Diceros bicornis minor: one gene and its partner. The protein of the gene in region 1 interacts with the protein of each later gene in a pairwise test. Links are inferred from orthologs where the notes say so. Each region holds a gene or a part of one and is shown in the gene's direction. Other genes may lie near its edges.

Region 1 (9,718 bases):
ATTTACTGTAAGGCAATAACATAAACTTAAAAAGTTTGGTTCTAATAATTACTTATAGCTGACAAAGCACAAACAAGTCCTTGGTTAATAAATTATTTAATTCAGAGACAGGCAACTTTGCTTAATTTCATCCCATCTGTGGTACGCATTCTAAAATAATGTGTCTTTCATCTGGTCACTATTGTCTCTTGCAACGAATGCCAACATATAAAATTGTGTATGCATCTGGAAAACAAACACAAAGTATCATAAATCTCTACAGTATACTGCAAAAATGGTCACAATTCTTTGCAGCTCCTGCTATAAAAGTCTGAGTCTATCTCCTCATCTTGATCTGGACTGGCCACGTGGTTTGCTTTGGCTAACAGTATGCAGCTGCAGTGCCAGGGGGCCAGTTCTTGGCCTAAGCTCCATGAAGCTCTGTAGTTTCCTCTCATGCTGCTCTTGGAACCATGTGAGGCCATGCGAAGAGGTCTGGGCTAGTCTGCTGGACAATGGGACACTGTGTCCTCATCACCCCATGATCCCATCTGACAGCCTACTAACAGCCAGGACACGTGAAAGTGTCCTGAATTACCCAGCCTCCAGCTAGCTGCTGGCTGACTACAGAACACCAGCCAAGTCCAGCACGGATGAGCCAAGCTGGTGAAGACCAGAAAACCCTCTCAGCTGAGCTACAAAGCTACGAGATAAACAGCTGCTGTTTTAAGCCACTATGTTTTGGGGTGATTTGTTATGCAGCAAAAGCTAACTGATACACAAGACATGGGAAAAGATGGATTAGCAACAGGGCCAGGCTACAAACTGAAAGTCAGCATGGAAATTTCCCTCTCCTTTATCCCCTACCACACAAATGGTCTCCAAATCCTGCCATAAGCATGTCCAGAATTCAGCAATTCTCCTCCATTTTCTTATCTTTGTTCAGGCCCTCCTCCCTTGCCTAGACCACTGCAATAGCTTCTTAATTGGTCTCTCTGCCCTGTCACTTGCCCCTTTCTCCACGGCAGACATTCTCTAACAATGCTGATTGTTAAACTGATTTTCCAAAACCCAAAACTGAGCATGGCAGACTTCCACTCTGAAGACCACTCATTCCTGGATATCCCCAGGATGAGGTCTAAGCACGGCACCAAATACTCTTCTCAAATCTGGTCCGAGCCCAACTTTTCTGCCTACTTATATGACAACATATTCTCCATCCACACTGAATGCCTCACCATCTCCCAAAGCCTTTACAAATTTGGAGCCTTTGCACCTCTGTCCCCTCTGCTGGAGTGCCCTTGTCTACCTGACTAAACTTCTGATCCTCCCTTCTGACATTCTCTCTGAAGCCTTTCCTGAGAGCCAACAGGCAATCAACCACCTCCAATACTACATAGCTGTTCATGACCCCCACTTAGGACACTTTTTATAACTATTTATCTATGTTACCTCTTTAGACCTCTAGGGACAGAAACTACATCTTATGTTCAATTAGTCTCATGGTACACAGTAGGCTTAAAAAAAATGCTTGTCGAGTGAAAGAATGAACTAAAGTTTACAGGACATGATCTGGAGCCTCACAGACCTAGGTGTGAAGTCCAACCCAGACTGTGGACAAGGTCCCCTCTCTGATCCTATTTCCTGCCCGTAAAATGGGGTAACACCACCACCCCTGCAAGGTTGCTCTGAGGATCAGAGATAATGTATGTCAAATTTCAACCTCAGTCCATGGCATAAAACTGGTATTCAATAAGTAGCAGCTATAATTCTCATTATGCTCTTTTGACTATTTTTGTAAACTCAAACTAAGCTGTGACTTATTATTTGATATGTTTTATCCATCAAACATATTATTATCTCCTATTCTTAAATGAAAATGTGGGTGAGCTGAATTTTATTTCTCTGTAAATAACAGCAGCAGATCATCTACCTCCAAGCTATTTTTTATTAATGGCTCTTCTCAGGGCAGTTGGCATGCTCTAAAGAAAAACAGTCCCTAAATCCTGTTCTCCTTGTTTTTTGTTAGGCCTCTTATGACATAAATAGGACTTTTTAATAGGCATTTATACAAGCAAAACTTTTACATAACTTATTCATGAAGTTTAACAAACTCCTTGCAGGAGAGTTTTCCAGAGATTGGGAAAGAAAAGAGTATTCCAGAAGCCTGTTGGTCTAAATGCAAAAGAAGAAAAGCCAGGTGTCTTTTGAATATTTTCCAGGGAACCTGGGATAGGTGTGTGTACCAAGAGTGCGAGTTTCTAAAAATGTCAACTGACAAACCACAGGTAGAGAAGTTAGAAATGCAGTGCTCATGCCACTGCTTCTTGTTCCTCTCCTTCTAATGCACTAAACTCTCATTATCCAGTTTACTAGCTTTGGTGTGGTGGATAGAACACGGCTCAGAAGACCTGTGTTCCATGCCTGGCATGACCCCTAGCCAAGGTGGTCATATCAGCTCTCTGAACCACAGTTCTCTTCAAATAAAGACTTGAGCTAAATGCGCTCCAGAGGCTTCTAGGGTTAGAGGACTCCACAGCTTTGATTTCTCTGCCCTGCTAGCTTTTTTGTCCACTGATTCCTACCTCTACCAGGACCCACCAGATCATACCTTTAACCCATCATCCTCAGCACAAACTATAACCTACCAGTGGTATTGCGACATCCTCATAAGGAAGCTTGTCTTCTCGCCAAGCATCATCAATCAAATCCAAGATCCTTCCATCTCTCTGGACCTCACTGTCCATTCTCCGGCAGCTTTATCTTGTCAGATCTGTAAGCCAAAGAGGTTATTTCTTAAACACGAAGACTGAGATGACGTAATCCCGCACTCGGAGTTCCCAGGCTTTTCGGCCTGGATATGTCTTTTGGGATAACATCACCCTGGGAACGACTCACCTCTTGCCTGGGTCAGGTGACAACTTACTTTATAAGATCACAGTCCCTTCCTCCTGCCCCCTCACTGCTCAGCTTTACAGTGTTATCGGACAGACATCAGACATAGCCCAGTTGACAGACCAGTGTCACAGCGTGACAGGAGGCCAACATACCTGAGGGCCTCCTTTACAAGGCCACAGTACATCTTGAATGTAGCTTTTCTCTCCTAAATTGCACACTCACCTTTCCCTGTTTGAGATGCCTTTGATGGGTCCTTGATGCATAACCAAGTCTCCTCTCTGGCCCCTCTAGCCTTTCCTGCACCATTTTTACAAAAGTCTCCACCTGCCTTGGCTCTAATCTCAGCATTCTTAGGCACAGGAGCTAAATGAACACACTGAGATAATGCTGAACAGGGTTACACGAAGTGACCAACGACAGATTTGACAGAAATCCTCAGTTGAGCCTGTAAAAGAAACTGCTTCCTTTCTGAAAACAGCGCCCAGCCTGAGCTCTGAAAGGAGCACCTCTAGGTGAACAACAGTGGCAGTACCCCATGCTGCTCGTGTCTGTTTCCCTTCAGGGTTCCTTCCTCTGATTCTCAACGCCATACTCCCTTCCATGCCTGGCCCAAGCAGTCAAGCGGCTTACTTAGCTCCTTGACTACAGCTGATTCCCTATTTTTCTCCTAAACGGCTGCTGCCAGCTTGGAGGGCACCTCTGCATCTCGTTTCCAAGTTTGGGCTCTTGCTTCTTCATCACAGGCACCAGACACCACCCTACTGTGCCACCTGCTACAAAGCAGCCATCCTGATGGCTTGGAAGCCAATGACACCAAAGGCACTCTTTTATTCCCAGTTTGAGACTATGAAGATTCATACAAGAAACAATCTTCAGGTGCAGAATCCAACTCCTTCATACAGGCCTGTGCTTGTCCCCAGTAGTGTGATTGCAAGGTAACCCTAATACCTGTAATAACTGTACAGATTGTAGTGGCAGAAGGGTTTTGCCCCCATGATAAGGATCCAGGCAAAACTGAAGCAAAAGGTGCCCAGCTACTTCTGCCACCAGTGAACATGATGAGGTCTTCACGTTTAACTCAACGATTAATCCAGGACTGCCCAGTGGACAAGTGAAAGCCAAGGAACCTGTCTTTAGGAAATCCACACACAAGGAGTTCCTGCCCTCAGTTCCAGTTATACTTTTGGAGTCCCTGGACTCCAAAATCTGGAGTCCTATAAGACCCCTCCCTTTTCCTGCTGCCACTCCTTCGTCCTTGCTGCTCTGCCCCTGGGGATACCCTCCTTAATTTTCTAAGGTGACCAAAACCAGCCGATTTTCCCAGTCACACACAGATTCCATCTTTTTGTCAAGTTTTCTAAAATCACAGCAGCTTCAGCAGGCACTCGGCCCTCAAATGCTTCCTTCTTGTCCTTAACATCTACTAAACAAGTCAGGTCGCCTCTGCAACCCACTGCTCAGGTATAATTGTCTCCAAGTGATTTTTTTTTTCTTTCTGCTGAGGAAGATTAGCCCTGAGATAACATCTGTGCCCACCTTCCTCTATTTTGTATATGGGACGCTGCCACAGCATGGCTTGACAAGCTATGTATGCATAGGGATTGTTATGTGTAAATTTTGTATCAATGCCTCAGCACATCTTCCCCCAATGTGTCCTCAATCTTTATTCACCCGTTCCTTTTCCAAACACCTCTAACCCTCTCATACTTGCCAGCCTCTGCACTTAAAACCCTCTTTCCCCCAGCACTAACACCTACTTTTCCCTCCAAACTCAAAGTGTGCGTCAGCTCTTCCGGATCAACGTCCTCCTTCCACAGTTGGGCGCTAAATTGCCTTCACTCTTAAGGGGCTGGAAGAGTGGAAAGCATCAAGACAGGCGATGTCCAGGGCACGGCCACTGTCCCAAGCACTTGCCACACTCGACAGAACGAACCACTACCAGTTTCCCGAACAAACTGTTCTTACGCACGTGACAGTCCCAATGCCTGGAAGGCTTTTTACTCTTTTTCCCCAGCTAATCCCCAGTCAGTCTAGAAACTCTCGGGTCGCCTCCCGCAGGAGGCCCTCCCCCAGACCCAGGCGCGCGCGCGCCCGCCCCTGCAAGGGTCCCATGGCTCCCAGGGCTCATGAACGGTCCCGACGGGAGGCTGCCACATCGCCGGTTACACGTCCTCCCAGACAGACGGTGCGTGCGCCCCCCGGGGCAGGCCTCTCTGTGCTCCAGAGCTCTGTAAACGCGCAGCTCCGCGATCAAAGCAGGAAGGCGTTTTCCCTCACTAGAAATGACCCTCGCAGGCCACCACCGTCGTACAGGTGAGGCTGCCCCCGCCGCGCCTTCCGGCCCGGGCTGGAAGTACCAAAAGCGGAGCGGGGGAGGTCCAGGCCCGCCACGCGAGTCCTCTCCACCGGACCCGGCGTGTGATAGGCGAATGAGTATGAGAACGAAATGAAAGCCTCAGCTTCGGCCGACGGAAGTTGGAGAAGCGCGACGCTGAGGAACAACGCGATCCCGCCCCTCCAAAACCTAGGCCTGCAGCGCGGTAAACCCTTACCGGTACCCGACCCAGATCGCACCACTTCCGCCAGACCCCGCCCTCCTCATCACGTGATCCGCACGCCCTTTTCTCCGATCCCCGGATGTGGGTGAGCCCATTTGCTGGCGCGGAGGGGAGGTCAGGGAGGACGTAGTGTCAATTCAAAGTGAGGGCGCAGTGGGCGGAACGAACGTGCCGGCGACGGAGGCTGGACGTCAGGTTGGCGGTGACGCGCGTGCGCGCCCCCGGCCGGAGGTAACGGCGGGAAGGCTCGGGGGCGCGCTCGCGGCAGCCCGTAACCGCATGTGCGCACGTAGGGCCGGCGAGGGCCTGAGGGGTTCTGGGCTGGAGGCCGCTCTGGCTGCAGTGGCGCCGCCGGCCGCGCGGCCCCAGGGACCGGGACTGGCTTCCGGAGCTGCCCGCCTGCCGCCGGGCCCGCCCCCGCCGGCCCGGGCCCGCCCCGGCGCCCCGCCCCTCGTCCTTGCCGCGGACGCCCTGCGGCCGCGCGAAGGCGACTATGGCGGTGCCGGGCGCGCCGTCCGCGCCAGCCAGGTGGTCAGCCTCTACCCGGAGGCTGGGAGGCTGGGAGGCCGGGAGGGCGGAAGGGCGGGGGCGAGCTGCTCTCGGGCCCTCACCTTCCCTGGCGGAGCCAGGCTTCCTCCCCGGGGGAGGGACCCCGGCACAGCCCTCCCGCCCGGGCTCCGTGCCCTGTTAGCTCCCTAGCAAGGTGCGACTTAGGTCCTGGACGGCGGGTGATACCGGTTCATGTGTGGTGGAGAGGTTAGCGATTTTTAGCAAGGGAGTTGCTTTACAAACGTTAATGTTAGTACAGGAGATACGGAACTGTGGCAGAAATCGTGAAGGACTGAAGTTGGGGAACCCTGAACTTAACGGATTGCTCCATACGGATCAGGGATGGGAAATAAATGATAGAGTGAGAGTTTAAAAGGGACGGTTCTGTAGGAACACTTGAATCATGAAGATATTTGAAGACAGTAAATCTAGGCTCATAGCGTGGTTTTGCTTATGTCTCTTACAACAGAAGAGTAAAGAGTCTGCTGTCAGTGACTGGTCTCCGTTTACAGTTACAGTGCACTTATTTGCACAAAGTAGTTTTCATTGAGCCTTACATCCGATTCCTTAAACCGGTCTTTGAAAAAAGTTTTTTAATTCCTTTAATAAAGCAGTATTGTAGGGTAGGTACCCTGTAGTTATGCAGTTCCCCACATGCTTACATTTAATTTTATTTTATAGCTATGAAGAGGAAATCGTCATAAGGATCATCAACTACATGTTACTTTCAAATATTTACATTTCTACTTATCGTAGCTGTAGCTTAACGATAAGGTGTATGTATTTTCTTATTCAGCTTGCAGTACCATATTTAGATTGATTTTTATCCTGAGCTTCTTGCCCTTTGACTATATCATTATCACTGATCAGGATAGTAAAAGACAAATTAAAATAGGTTAGAGATTTATAAACATTCAGACAGTCACACCGCCCTTTAAGATGTATGTAGATTCAAGTTTTAAAATTATTTGTAATAATTGTGTATGTTAATTGTACTGATGCCATTTTCCTCCCATTAATAGGTGGGAGACGTTTGCTTGGTCATCCGTATTCTCATTTGTGTAGTAGTGGTGGCTGGTGGTGACAGCATCAGTAGTCCACTCTATCAGAGCTTCCTACTTAAAAAAAAAAAAAAATGTTAACTTGATTTGAAATTCAGCTGAAGCCAACATTAATATAGGTTTCAGGAACTGAATTTTTGATTTTTATGTTATGTTAGGTTTTTTTTCCCCTCCAAGAGCTAAGTTTTTTTTTTTCAGTTTTACAAAACCACAGTGTTGTCATCACACCTAGGAAAATTAAAAAAATTACATAATGTCAATATTCAGTCTGGATTCAGATTTCCCCAACTGTCCCTTAAATGTCTTTTTACAATTAACTTGTTTGGATCAAAATCCCATAGAGATCCACATGTTGCATTTGGTTGATACACCTTTTAAATCTTTTAATATAGCAGTCCTTGCCTCCCTTTTTTCCCTTAACATTCTAGATTTAGCTGATTGCATCCACATGGTATCCTTTAACATGTACATCTATTCCCTTTATTTCCTGTGAACCAGTAGTTAAAGCTAGAATTGCACTGTCCACTATAGTAGCCACCAGCAAGCTGTGGCTATTTAAATGAATTAAAGTGAAATAAAACTAAAAATTCAGTTACCTGGTTGCATTATCCACGTTTCAAGTGCCCAATAATCACAGGTGCTTAGTGGCTACCATTTGAATAGTGTGGATAGAAAATATTTTCATAATTGCAGAAAGTTCAGTTGAACAGCACTGATCTAGAAGCTGGATCAGATTCAACCTTGATTTTTTTTGGTGGTGGGGGTAAGATTTCCTAGGTGCTGCAGTACACATCCTATTGTATTAGTTATCAGAGAGGCATGCAGTGTCTCAGTTGTCTCTTTTTGTGATATTAAGATTGAGCAGTGTAGTGGCTTCAGGTGTTGTCAGCCCAATCCAGCCATCATGAAATTCCCCATGAGCCTTTCGCTCGATGGTGAATTCTTTCCATGGATTTAGATTGCCTATAACCATTATTGCATTAGGGGTTGCAAAATGGTGATTTTCTAGTTCTATCATTCCTTCAGTGTTTATTAGCTGGAAATCTTTTATGAAGAACTTTCCCCACCAGTTATTTGACTGCCATCAGCTATTTGAAATACAGTTTGTGCAGGAAAGGCAAGAAAAATACTTAATTCTTTCCCTCTATTTTCAGACTACGATAATGAGTTGGTGGCCTAGCAACCTCCAAAGGTAACCATGAGGGTTTTTGCCTTTTTATTTTTTATCATGAACTTACAGACTTGAATATATTTAAACTGTTTCAACCTAGTGTAGGTTGACAATACTCACATTGTCCTGTCTTTGGCCAGTGGCAGCCCTTTTAAGTTGGCTCCTGTCCACTTTGGTATGACCAGTAGTCTTTGATAATTTCCTTGTTTTCTGGTAAAACCTCTTCCTGGCTCTTTTATACATTTCTGGCCACTAGGAAGCCCTGGTTCCTTTGAGCAGTGTTTAGAGACCATAGTCTGGGTGCTGGAGGTGCTCTTGCTATTAGGCTGGTCATTGGTTCTAGGATTTATAGCAGCCAAAGATAGGAAATACTTTTTTTTTTCTTGTTTTTTTTTTTTTTTTTGGTGAGGAAGATAGGCCCTGAGCTAACATCTGCCAATCCTCCTTTTTTTCGCTGAGGAAGGTTGGGCCTCGGCTAACATCCATGCCCCTCTTCCTCTATTTCATATGGAACGCCACCACAGCATGGCTTGACAAGCGGTGTGTCGGTGCGCACCCAGGATCCAAACTGGTGAACCTCGGGCTGCCGCAGCGGAGCGCACCCACTTAACCGCTTGTGCCACCGGGCTGGCCCCAGGAAATACATTTTTTTTTTTCTTTTTTTGAGGAACATCAGCCCTGAGCTAACATCCATGCTAATCCTCTTTTTGCTGAGGAAGACCGGCTCTGAGCTAACAAGGAAATACATTTTTTAAAAGAGTAATATACAGAATTCACACTGATATTTCCAACTTAATTTTATAGTTTTTTCTTTACATATTTGATTTTTTTATTTGTATCTTTTTTGCTGAAAATCATCGTATCTAATGTCATTAATATAATTACTTTTTTTCTTATATTATATTTAACAGTTTCAAATTAACAATACCAATTTTATTATTAACAATATGATTCCTGAATAGTGTTTAGGATTTCTTTGCAGTTCTTTTTTGTCCTTATATATCTCACTTGGGATATGTACAGTAAAATTACTGCATTTTAAAGGCATATGAAACAATTTGTTATATGATTAGGCTGCTGACTTGATGTCTAGTTGACTTATTTCATTTTGTTTCCAACTTTTCAATACTACTTTTTTTCCCATTTGCATTTGTTTTATTATATGTAAAGCATTAGCATATTTCCTATAAAACAAGTAACTGTCAAATAAGCTACAGCCAGACAAGTTTAGCTTTCATCCCTGTTTTCTCCACTCTATTTCCCTTTCTTGTAGTATCATATTTACTAGTTTTGGATTTATCCTTCCATAAAAACAAATGCACCATATATATATATTTTCCTCCTTTCGTAGATAAAAGGTAGTATTTGCATACACTGTCTTGTATCTTGCTTTTTTTACCTAATAATATATGCCTTGTAGATCCCCCCACAGAAGTATGTAGAGATTGTTGTCCCTTTTCACGGCTTCATAGTGTTCCATTGGTGGATGAATATTCTATTAG
Region 2 (10,246 bases), on another chromosome or scaffold:
CTTGGTTCTTAGATGACTGTGATGTCACCACACTAGTTTTGGACCAGATTTTACTTGAAAGAGAAAGTTTGTAAGTCATTGTTATTTTGAATCTCTTACATGTACCTTAGCTAAATCCTAACTAATCAAAAGGGGTCCAGACTCAGGGAAGAAGCTCTTAGGTGACTGCTGCTGTAATCTATATAAGAGCTGATGAAAGCTTGATTAAGGTGGTGACAAAGAAGATGGAGAGAAAAGAAAGGGTTCAAGAGTATTTAAGCAGAACTATAGTACTTAGAAATTCAGTGGAGGGGCCGGCCCCACAGCGGAGTGGTTCAAGTTCTGTGCACTCTGCTTCGGCAGCCTGGGTTCACGGGTTTGGATCCTGGGCATGGACCTGCTCCACTCAACAGCCATGGTGAGGAGGCATCCCACATACAAAATAGAGGAAGACTGGCACAGATGTTAGCTCAGGGCTAATCTTCCTCAAGCAAAAAAAAAAAAAAAAAAAAAAGAAATGAAACTAGAATGACAGAGAATGATTTGCTCCTGATGGAGGCTTTCAGGTGTTGACTGATCTGTGAATATTAAGAGCAGAAGATACCAACCAGTGAGATTTTGAATGAAAAACACCTCTAAATTATGGGCAAAAGGTCAAAGTTTAAGTACAGATTCACTTCTGTCTCTTCTGAAAAAAGCCTTTCTCTTGTTAATAAATAGAAGATTGAGCTGGGAGACTGAAAAATGTTCATTGAACAAATATTTATCAAGCAGATATTACGTGCCAGGCACTGTGATAAGGATTCAATGGTGAGCAATACAGACATGGACTCTGACCTCATGAGGTATATAATTACCAACTGTTAGAAGGGCTATATGCTAAAAAACATGAGAAATTATGGGAGCTGGAGTCTGGGAAGAGCTATCTGAGGAAACAGTATCTGAACTAAGTACTCAAGAATGAGTAGAAGTTAAGCAGGTAAAGTAAGGGGGAAAGCATTGCAAGCCAGGAAACAGCAGGTGCAAAGGCCCTGAGATGGAAGAGTGTGTGACAGGTTAAAGGAACTGAAAGGCCAGTGTGGCTAGAGCACAGAGAGGCCGAGTGAGGTGTGGTTCAATTCAATTCACTTCAACAAACAGCATTGGCAGTCCAGTGTTTGACAGTCACTGATAAGACAAAGCTGAGGTAGGCAGAGGCTGGATCATGCAGGGCCTTGTAGGTCCTGTGTAGAATGTGTTTTTATTCTAAGAAGAATGGGAAGCTATTGCAAGGTTTTAAGCATCAGTTTGTGTTTTCTGGCCAATGAATGGAGAACAGATTGGAGGGGTGCAAAAGTGGATACGGGGAGAAGCAGAAGTTGCAATAATGCTGGTGGGAGACTGTGAAAATGGAGAGAAGCAAACAGAATCAAGGGATATTTAGAAATGTAAACAGATAGGATTTGCCAATTGAGTGAGGGGATGAGTGAGGTTTCTAGCTTCTGCAACTGGATGAGTGGTAAGCATAGGAGGAAAGTTTATGAGGAAACATGTTGCGTATGGGATGTTTTTGAGATGCCTAAGTGGAGATGTCAATCAAGTAGCTCAGAGCAGAGATCTGGTCATCAGTAACTAAAGCCCAGAGTGCGGATGAAACAATCCTAGAAAAATTAAACCGAAAAAGAACAGGACCTAGAGAAACTTATATTTAAAGGCCAGACACGGATGAGCCTGCAAGAGGCTAAGAAGCTGCAGCCAAAGAAGTAGTGGTACAGTCATGTGGGTGGAATCCCCGAGACCAGTGAAGACTGTCGATGATGAGGAACTAGTCGATAGTAACAGACGCTACCGAGAAGTGAAGTAAGCTGAGGACTTGGAAATAACCATTGGACTCGGAAACATGAACGTCACTTGGTGAACCAGGGTGACCTCCCTAAGAACTATTTCAATAGAATAAAAGTTGTAGAAGTCAAAACAGACTGGGTGAAGGAATAGGAATGGAGAGGGCCAAAGTACCAACTGTTTTGAATTTAGCTATAAAGTGGAAAAACAGGATGGTAGCTGGAGGAGAAATGAGGTATAGACTGTTTTTTTTGTTGTAACAAGGGAGTCTTTAGCATGTTAAACACTGGTGAGAAGTAAAGTGGGAAAAAGTCAGAGATTCCCAAAGGACAGACTAGGATTCAGAGCACAGGAATAGGCATTAACCTTGAGAGGGATGCTTGCCTTGTTCAGACAGGAGAGAATGAAGCAGATGCCAGGTGAGTGACCAAGTTTGGTTGCGAGATGTTGCAGGAGTTCTCAACTGATAGCTTCTACTTTTGCCTATGAAGTAAGAAATATGGTTACCTGCAGAAAGTGAAGAGAATGGTGGGGGGCAATAAGAAGCTTAAGAATATTGGTTTGAAATAATCATTGCAGGGAGAAAAGATGAAAAGAAAAACCTGGTGGGATTACAGGGGCTGAGATTCCATTTGAAGTTGGTAACCACGGATTCATGTTGATATAAATGTGCTCTACAGTGATTTCCTTGGGCAGCTTTTAGCTGCCCAAATGCAGGCACAAATGTTTCATTTCATCTAAGAGTCCAACAAAGACATGAAGCAAGGAAATTTAGCTTATTCCAAGAGAATCACAAGAATTTCAGCTGGATAGTAATCTAAAGGCAGGAAGGGGTTAATGGAAAGAGAGAAGGTAGAAGTGATGGCGTGAATGCTCCAGTGAAATCAAAGAATGGTAGTAGAGGAATAGTTCGATAAACAAAGTAGAAGAAATATTGTCAATGAGTAAGATGCAAGTAACAGTGTTTTGAAGATGGAGCAGTTTGGGCTGATGACGATGGCTAGGATATAACTAAGGGAGTGGCTGGCTAAGACAGACTGGAAATCATTGGAGATTAGGTCAAGGAATTAAGAGACCAAAATACTGAATGGACTGTCCATGTAAACATTAAAGCACCAAGGGGTGGATATGAAGACCAAGGGATAGCTATTTAGAGGAAATAGGAGAGTGGTAGTTACTAAGAACAAGTAATGAGAGATAGTGGTATAGTTGAATAGTCTCAAAGGAATCAGTCTTTGCAAATGAGTGGGCAGTTAAGTTCTAAAGCCGCAATGGTGGGAACACCAACGCTGTTTCCAATGTTTGTGATAAAGGGATAAAGCTTTGTCAACATTTATTCTTGTGTTGTACTTGAGACATCACCATTGCTCTCATTATGCCAATGACTACGGTTTATGGCAAGACCTAAGGGCGAGATTTCCACAACTATGGAAGATGGATGGTAGGAATAAGGTACTTCTAAGTATCAAACATATTTATAAATAGGAGCAAGAACCAGGACAGAAAAGATTGAAAATTTAAGGGACTAATTGATGGATCAGATTGAGGGCCACTTGTTTTTCCATGCCTAAGGACTGGATGGGTGCAGATGAGCAAGCAAATATAAACTGTGGAATTTCAAAGAACATAGGCTTTAGAGTCAGACAGATCTATGTTCCTAGCCCTGCTCCAGCAATTACTAATTATGTGACCTGGAAACACAGATAATTCACAAGGGAAGTTTACTGCAAGGATACACACAAATGTTAATGTAGAAGAATTCTCCCACCAGCAGCACAATATCCCAGGGCCTCATTCCCATCTCTGGGAATTGGTAAATTCAAAAGATGGTTTACTTGCATTTATACTTTCCAAGGACAGAATTTTATTGGGTAGACATGAAGCCAGTCAATAGGAAAGTTCCTGCTCAGCAACTTTTACGTTCCTAATAAATTTTTCTGTTCAAGAGACAGCAGCTAAGGAGGCAAAAAGCTGATTGCAACCACTCTTCTTAATAGGTAACTGTATAAGATGGGCTTCTGGTACATTCTGGATTCTTGCTTCCTCATCTGTCAAGTGGGGATAATACCTCTTACTTATAGTTTTGTTGTAAAGATTAACTAAGATAAAGCATAACATATACCAACATCAGAACCTATACAAACTGGGTGCTCAATAGGTATTACTTTGAGAGGCAGCCTAGTGTAGTAAAAAGCACATGGATTTTAAAGTCAGATCTGCATTTTAATACAGAGTCTGCTACTGGAGAATTTCACCTCCCTGATCCGTAGAGAAGAGAGAACATCTGCTTTGTGGGTGGTCATAAGGAGTTTTTGATTATTCTGGGAACTAATGTCTAAGAGCTTCCATTTCCTCTGTAAAAAATGAAACGTGTTCACCTGATGGGGGATAGTTGAGGGTGAGGTGGAGGATTAAGGAGAGCAGTGAAGGTGTAAAATCACTGCCATGTTGATTAGGAGAGGGAATAGACCAGGAACTCATACAGGGTTGCTTGTTGGTAGTGAGGGCTTGGTTGGGGTTGCAGACCTTGAACATTTAGTGGCATTCATTACACAGCTGTGTTTTCCTCTAACGGCTTGAATGAGGAATAGAAAAGATAAAACAGCTGAAATGACACAAAAAGGACACAAGGGTGGCAAGAAAATGTGTTGATGGAGTGCCATTCAGACTGCTAAGTACAGAAGTAAACTCCACAAGAGGGCCAATAATGAGAAAAGAATGTAGAAGATGGAATTAGAAATCACAGAATGGGTACAGTGGGAACAAGGTGGGGTAGAAGTTAGGGGAGCTAGAATTAGATTACAGACAAGCAGTGAGACATTAAGGTAATATTAAAGAGGTCCCAAAGATTTCGCTTTATCCTTGTTTTTTCCCATAACCACCACCATCTATTTCTCCCTTAGATTTCTCTCCTTCAAGTCTGACTGTATTACAGAATACAGTCCCCCAAGTTTTCCCTTTTCTGACTGCCCCTGAAGACAAGGCATATAGACCTTCTTTGTTTAAAGGTTTTACTGCTCATCCAGGGAAGACACAAAATAGTAACAAAGTAACAACTTGAAGAAATGGTGGAAGTTCCGGAAAACCCCAAAATTCTTACAGGTTTCATCTCTGTCCTGGGGCTACTGACTTCCCAGAAGGTAGTGCCTAAAAGCCCTGTGGTTTCTTGATCTGTTGTCCTTAGATACTGCCTCCTTTCCCTAAATCTGGCAAAATTCCTTCTTGTAAGACACAGTCCATGAAAAAACAGTTATGAAGGAACGCATATCTGGCTCAAAAGTGGGCCGTTTAAGTCAGAGAGGTTTAAGTTAAGGACAACTAGAGAGAGCTCCCATTTTCTCTGTCTTCTGGGCAGAAACCAACTTCCTGTTGCTATTATTAACCTTAAAACTATACCCACAGACCTTGCTTTAACCAGCTGCCTGGGAATGCTGAGGTTTTCCTTCCAGACATAGAAGGCAATTTCCCACCTGCCAGGGCTGAAGCCAGCAGATATGCACTAACTGACAAAACAAAGCATGGTCCCAATAAAGTGGGCAAAGCTTCCCTGCCCAGAATATAAATGAAACAGAGTAAAAGCGGGTTTATTGGCTCCAGGAAAAGGAGCAATGGCACCCAGCTCTCAAGCAACTCTCTCTCTATACAGGCCGCACCCAGCCCAAGGTCTACTGGCTCCTTCAATTTGAGGGTCCATCAAGCGCCTCCCTTCCTGGGGTTGGGGATGGCTAGCTGCCTGATGGCGAGGTTCCGGGCTGTTCAGCAGCAACACCTGGCACAGCTGAGGCAGCCTCGTAGTCTGCGATGCGGCGCTGTACCAGAGCAGGCATGAGTTGCACGTAAGCGGCCATGAGGCGGTGGTTGGAATGGATCAGCTTCCCAGCACAGCTGTGCAGACATGCCTCCTGGAAGGAAGACAGGGTGGAAGTAGAGGCCAAAGGTGTCCTGTCAGGTCCGTCTCCTTCCTTCCCATCCCCAGCCTAGGAGCAAGGGGTCGTGGAAAGGCCAGGGCCAGAGATGGGGGAAGTGAGGGAAGGAGGGAGCAGCCTACCCTCTCTACTCAGGTCCCCACCTCCTCAGCATCCAGAGCTCGGTGGTGCAGGCTGGGCACGCAGCGCTGGAAGCAGAGTTCCGTCATGCGATTGTAGACCAACAGGAAGTCCCGTAACTGGGAGAAAAGGAGACCAAGAACTCAGAGACAAGGGGGCCCGCATCTCAATTCAAGCCGCGCCGCCCACGGTTTCCCAGCACCGAGCACCACAGCCCGACGTTTCCAGCCCTCGGACCCCTGGCTCTTTGGGGTTCCCGCCACGCGGACGTGGATGCCAGCTGAAAGTATACCCCCTCAGCGACTGAGCTCCCACTCACGTTTCTCAGCTGTTGCTGCTGCTGCTGCTGCTCCATCACGCCGCCGGCGCGCGGCTACGTCACTTCCGTTACAGCTTCTCGGTAACGCCCCGGAAGTAAGCTCTCGTAGCTCCCCAAGGAATGAGGAGTTGGCTCAAGGATCGCCCTGCCCCCGGCTGCCAACGTCACCTCCGCCCTTATAATCTGCGACGTGGCCGGCTTCTTCTGCCCGGGAGAGGACGTCACTTCCGCCGAGTCCCTGACCTGCTGCTAGGATCGCGACGGGAACTGGAACCCGAGGTCCCCGCGCCGCCCGGGCCTGGCGCCCTGAGGGGAAGAGCGGCCCGGCCCGAGGTGAGAGGGACGTACTTGGGCAAGGGGAAGTTGAAAGCACAAGCCTGTCCTGAGGGCAAGGTGCCTCTGAGCCCTGAGGAAGGATGAGGGCACACCTGATGCCCAGGTGTATGGGGGGGGCGGGCATTCACACACCTGGAGCGACATAACTGACTTTGAAAGGGATCACCTATATCCTGGGAAAAAGAGGCTTTTCTCAGAGGCCAAGAACAGATACCAACTGATTCAATTAAGGCCTGGGTGTAGGGCAGGAGGTGCATGGCATGGAGGAGGGGGAGACCACCTGAAGGAAAGGGGAACAAACACTAAAAGAGTGTGAAAGGCCAAGCAATGGAGAACATACCTGAATGGGGGTTAGGCACCTGAGCTCTGGAAAGGGGTTCTTCTCCTCATGGGGGGAAACACCTGCATGGGGATAAGCTCCAAGAAAGCACAGACTTTGTCTGTCTCGTTCGCTACTGTATTTCCGTTGCCTCAAATAGTGCATGACACATAGTATGCACTCATTAAATGTCTGTTGGATGATTGAATGCATGAATGATCAATAGAGTCCTGGTGGGGTTGGGAGTCATGAGAAGACACCTGAGGCCTGAGTATGAATGTGTAAAAATATGCGCCTTGGAGGGGAGAAATACATGCCTGAAGAAAGGAGTAGTGGCCAAACCCCAGAACACTCAAGCCCTGGAACAACCTCTCAAACCTATGGAATGGCAGGGGATACCTTCCTCTTCTGTAGTACTGGCCAGTTTCCAGAACTGTCTCTGTTGGGCTTTGCAGGGCGCTGGGGTGGAGACTTTGACTCCAGTCCCTTCCCTAGCCATGACGGACGGGATCCTAGGGAAGGCAGCCACCATGGAGATCCCCATCCATGGCAACGGCGAAGCTGGGCAGCTTCCTGAGGATGATGGGCTGGAGCAGGTGCTTCTGTTTGCTTCTTCTCCGTAATATTTCAATTTAGGAATCCTAATTTATAAACCCTGGGCTCTGACCCCCTATTCCAGTAGGCTTCCCCTAACTTATCTAACTCCCTTCAATCTTTTTATAAATCTTCATTCTGATTCTGTGCAGACTTCCCTTGTGCACTCTCTCTATGATGCTTCAATCCAAGCTTATTCTCATCCCCAAAATGCTTCAGCTGCCCTTATGTTCCTGAAGCCCCCCTCTTCTCTGGCCTATAGGACCTCCAGCAAGTGATGGTGTCAGGACCCAATCTCAATGAAACCAGCATTGTGTCTGGTGGCTATGGGGGCTCTGGTGATGGACTCATCCCCACAGGTATGAATGATCAGAACAGGCCAAGAAGCTTGAGTGGAGAGGGGGAGAGGAATGGTTCTGGGGAGTGTAGTATATATCTAAGAAAGCTTGAATTATGTCCAGAGATCTTGGGAACCTCTGCTAGTATGAACCCTATGGACTCTCCTCAGCCCAAGGCCAGTTACCAGTGTTGTTCAGCTACTCCCACTTGCCATTTAGCCCCTGAGATGCGCCCATTTGTCCTTTCTCTGCTGCCACCACTTGAGTCAAGTTAAGAACTCTGTTTCACAGGAGTTCCCCGTGCTCTGGAGCATGAGGCTGATTTGGAACTCTGTGAGCTTCTCAGAGTTTTACGTTAGACTCTAAAATTTAGAGGAACAAACAGCGCTGAATCTCTCACTGACTAGGATTCCACATGAGCGTGTCAACCAGGTTTCCTGTTATCAAGACCCACCATCCTTGACCTGCCACCCCATACTCAGCATATTTTCTTTTGTTTCCTCTGCCCCTGTACACCAGCAACTCCCTCTCCCCTCCCCATCCAATCTCCACCACCTCAGAAGGAGGCCAGATATATATTGGGATTTGGGTCTCAGGGCCCGAGATATGAGTTCCTCCTAGTGAGTAGGTGAATCTAATTGTGTCTAGCTTCCACTCCTTCAAAGAAGCTGTTTTCATGTGCTGGGAGGGAAGTGTGGGTGGAGCCACAGAGGTGTCTGGTTGTACCCTTGGTCCTTTAGGGTCTGGCCGCCATCCATCTCACAGTGCCACTCCTGCTGGCCCTGGAGATGAGGTGGCTCGGGGCATCGCTGGAGAGAAGTTTGACATTGTCAAGAAATGGGGCATCAACACATATAAGGTGGGATTCAAGCCCCTCTCCCTTCCCCCAAAACTCCCCCTGAGTACCTTTTCCCCACCTTCCAGATCCTAATATCCCATCTGTGGCTAAGACGAGGAGCCTGGGGATGCTGGGGTAGATACCTGTTGGGGAGGCAGGGTGCTAGGGTCTCTGACCTATTCCCCAACTTCCCATTCAGTGCACAAAGCAGCTGTTATCAGAGCGATTTGGCCGAGGCTCCCGGACTGTGGACCTGGAGCTAGAGCTGCAGATTGAGTTGCTGCGTGAGACAAAGCGCAAGTATGAGAGTGTCCTGCAGCTGGGCCGGGCACTGACAGCCCACCTCTACAGCCTGCTGCAGACCCAGCATGCACTAGGTGATGCCTTTGCTGACCTCAGCCAGAAGTCCCCAGAGCTTCAGGTGCCTCAGCCAGGCCAAAGAGGGTGGGGGGGACTGGGCCCAGGCCCTCCTAGGCAGTCTCCCCTCAGCCTCCCTCCCTCACTCCCTCCCTGCAGCCCAGAGGGAGAACCCCTCCAGGGTGGGCCCAGCCCTACCCCCAACAGCACTCACCTGTGGAGTCAGCCTAAGGGTTTGTACAGAGGTCCAGAAGTCGGAGTGGGTGGGGGAGGCAGCACATTAGGTGCCCCACAAGTAACCCTTCTCTGCATAGGTGAGAATGCCTTCGGTGCTCAGCCTAATTGGAGCCCCTCCCTTGCCTGCTGCACTAGCTTTCCCTGTTCTAGTCCTGTGAACTTATCTGAGAACCCCAACCCGACATTCCTACCCTAGGTATCCCCAGGGTGGCCCCACTAACTTTCTGGCTAAGAGCCTTGCTGGAGGCAGTCCTTGACTGTTCCAGTTTCCATGGCTGTTTCCTCCCTGGGGAGGAGGGGAATGAAGGGCTCTACAGTTCTGGTCAGGTAGGGACTGTTACTCAAGGCCTGCCCCCTCCCTTCTGCCCTCAGGAGGAATTTGGCTACAATGCGGAAACGCAGAAGCTGCTGTGCAAGAATGGAGAGACACTGCTAGGGGCTGTGAACTTCTTTGTCTCTAGCATCAACACATTGGTGACCAAGACCATGGAAGACACACTCATGACTGTCAAACAGTATGAGGCTGCCAGGTGTGGGCACTGGCAGGGCCTAGGGTTTGGGGAGTTGGCTGGCATGGGTGGAAGTTTGAGCTTTAAGGGCATAAGAATTGAAGAATGAAAGAAGAGTGTGTGGAGGACAAAGGGGTGGAGACCAGCCTATATCACCTCCTCCCCAGGCTGGAATATGATGCCTACCGAACAGACTTAGAGGAGCTGAGCCTAGGCCCTCGGGATGCAGCGACCCGTGGTCGACTCGAGAGTGCCCAGGCCACTTTCCAGGCCCATCGGGACAAATATGAGAAGCTGCGGGGAGATGTGGCCATCAAGCTCAAGTTCCTGGAAGAAAACAAGGTGCCAACCCCACCCCTTTGACCCAGCCCACCTTTCTGTCTGTAACATTGACCTTTTCCCCAGACCCTCCCCATCACTGGATGGGGAAATGCAGCCTGGCTAAGGAGTGGGATCTTCCCCTAGGCCCCTCAGCCCCTGGTCCTTTCTGATCACCCTCCCTCTGATCCCTGGCCCTATTCTGTTGGAGGATTTGGCTGCTGATCCCAGGAAT

What was found. The genes of interacting proteins can lie anywhere in the genome.
Region 2: the proteins of CEP63 (region 1) and ARFIP2 interact in binary tests that used the Homo sapiens proteins (3 or more experiments, as listed by UniProt). The link is inferred for Diceros bicornis minor from reciprocal best matches to the Homo sapiens genes CEP63 and ARFIP2.

What each region holds. Positions count from the first base shown.
Region 1 is NC_080741.1:18,001,792-18,011,509, reverse strand, and holds the start of CEP63 (centrosomal protein of 63 kDa), read left to right. Parts: upstream 1-5,241; 5' UTR 5,242-5,323; coding exon 5,324-5,520; exon of another isoform or gene 5,521-5,551; intron 5,552-5,586; exon of another isoform or gene 5,587-5,666; intron 5,667-6,058; exon of another isoform or gene 6,059-6,138; intron 6,139-7,146; exon of another isoform or gene 7,147-8,094; coding exon of another isoform or gene 8,095-8,237; intron 8,238-9,718. Other genes in the region: ANAPC13 (anaphase-promoting complex subunit 13), read right to left, coding at 2,628-2,726. UniProt on the Homo sapiens protein: Required for normal spindle assembly.
Region 2 is NC_080746.1:64,547,569-64,557,814, reverse strand, and holds the start of ARFIP2 (arfaptin-2), read left to right. Parts: upstream 1-6,393; 5' UTR 6,394-6,498; intron 6,499-7,275; 5' UTR 7,276-7,317; coding exon 7,318-7,416; intron 7,417-7,676; coding exon 7,677-7,773; intron 7,774-8,440; coding exon of another isoform or gene 8,441-8,492; coding exon 8,493-8,611; intron 8,612-8,789; coding exon 8,790-9,011; intron 9,012-9,556; coding exon 9,557-9,714; intron 9,715-9,860; coding exon 9,861-10,035; intron 10,036-10,246. Other genes in the region: TIMM10B (mitochondrial import inner membrane translocase subunit Tim10 B), read right to left, coding at 5,526-5,702, 5,870-5,965, 6,166-6,201. UniProt on the Homo sapiens protein: Plays a role in constitutive metalloproteinase (MMP) secretion from the trans Golgi network. May have important functions during vesicle biogenesis at certain cargo subdomains, which could be predominantly utilized by secreted MMPs, such as MMP7 and MMP2.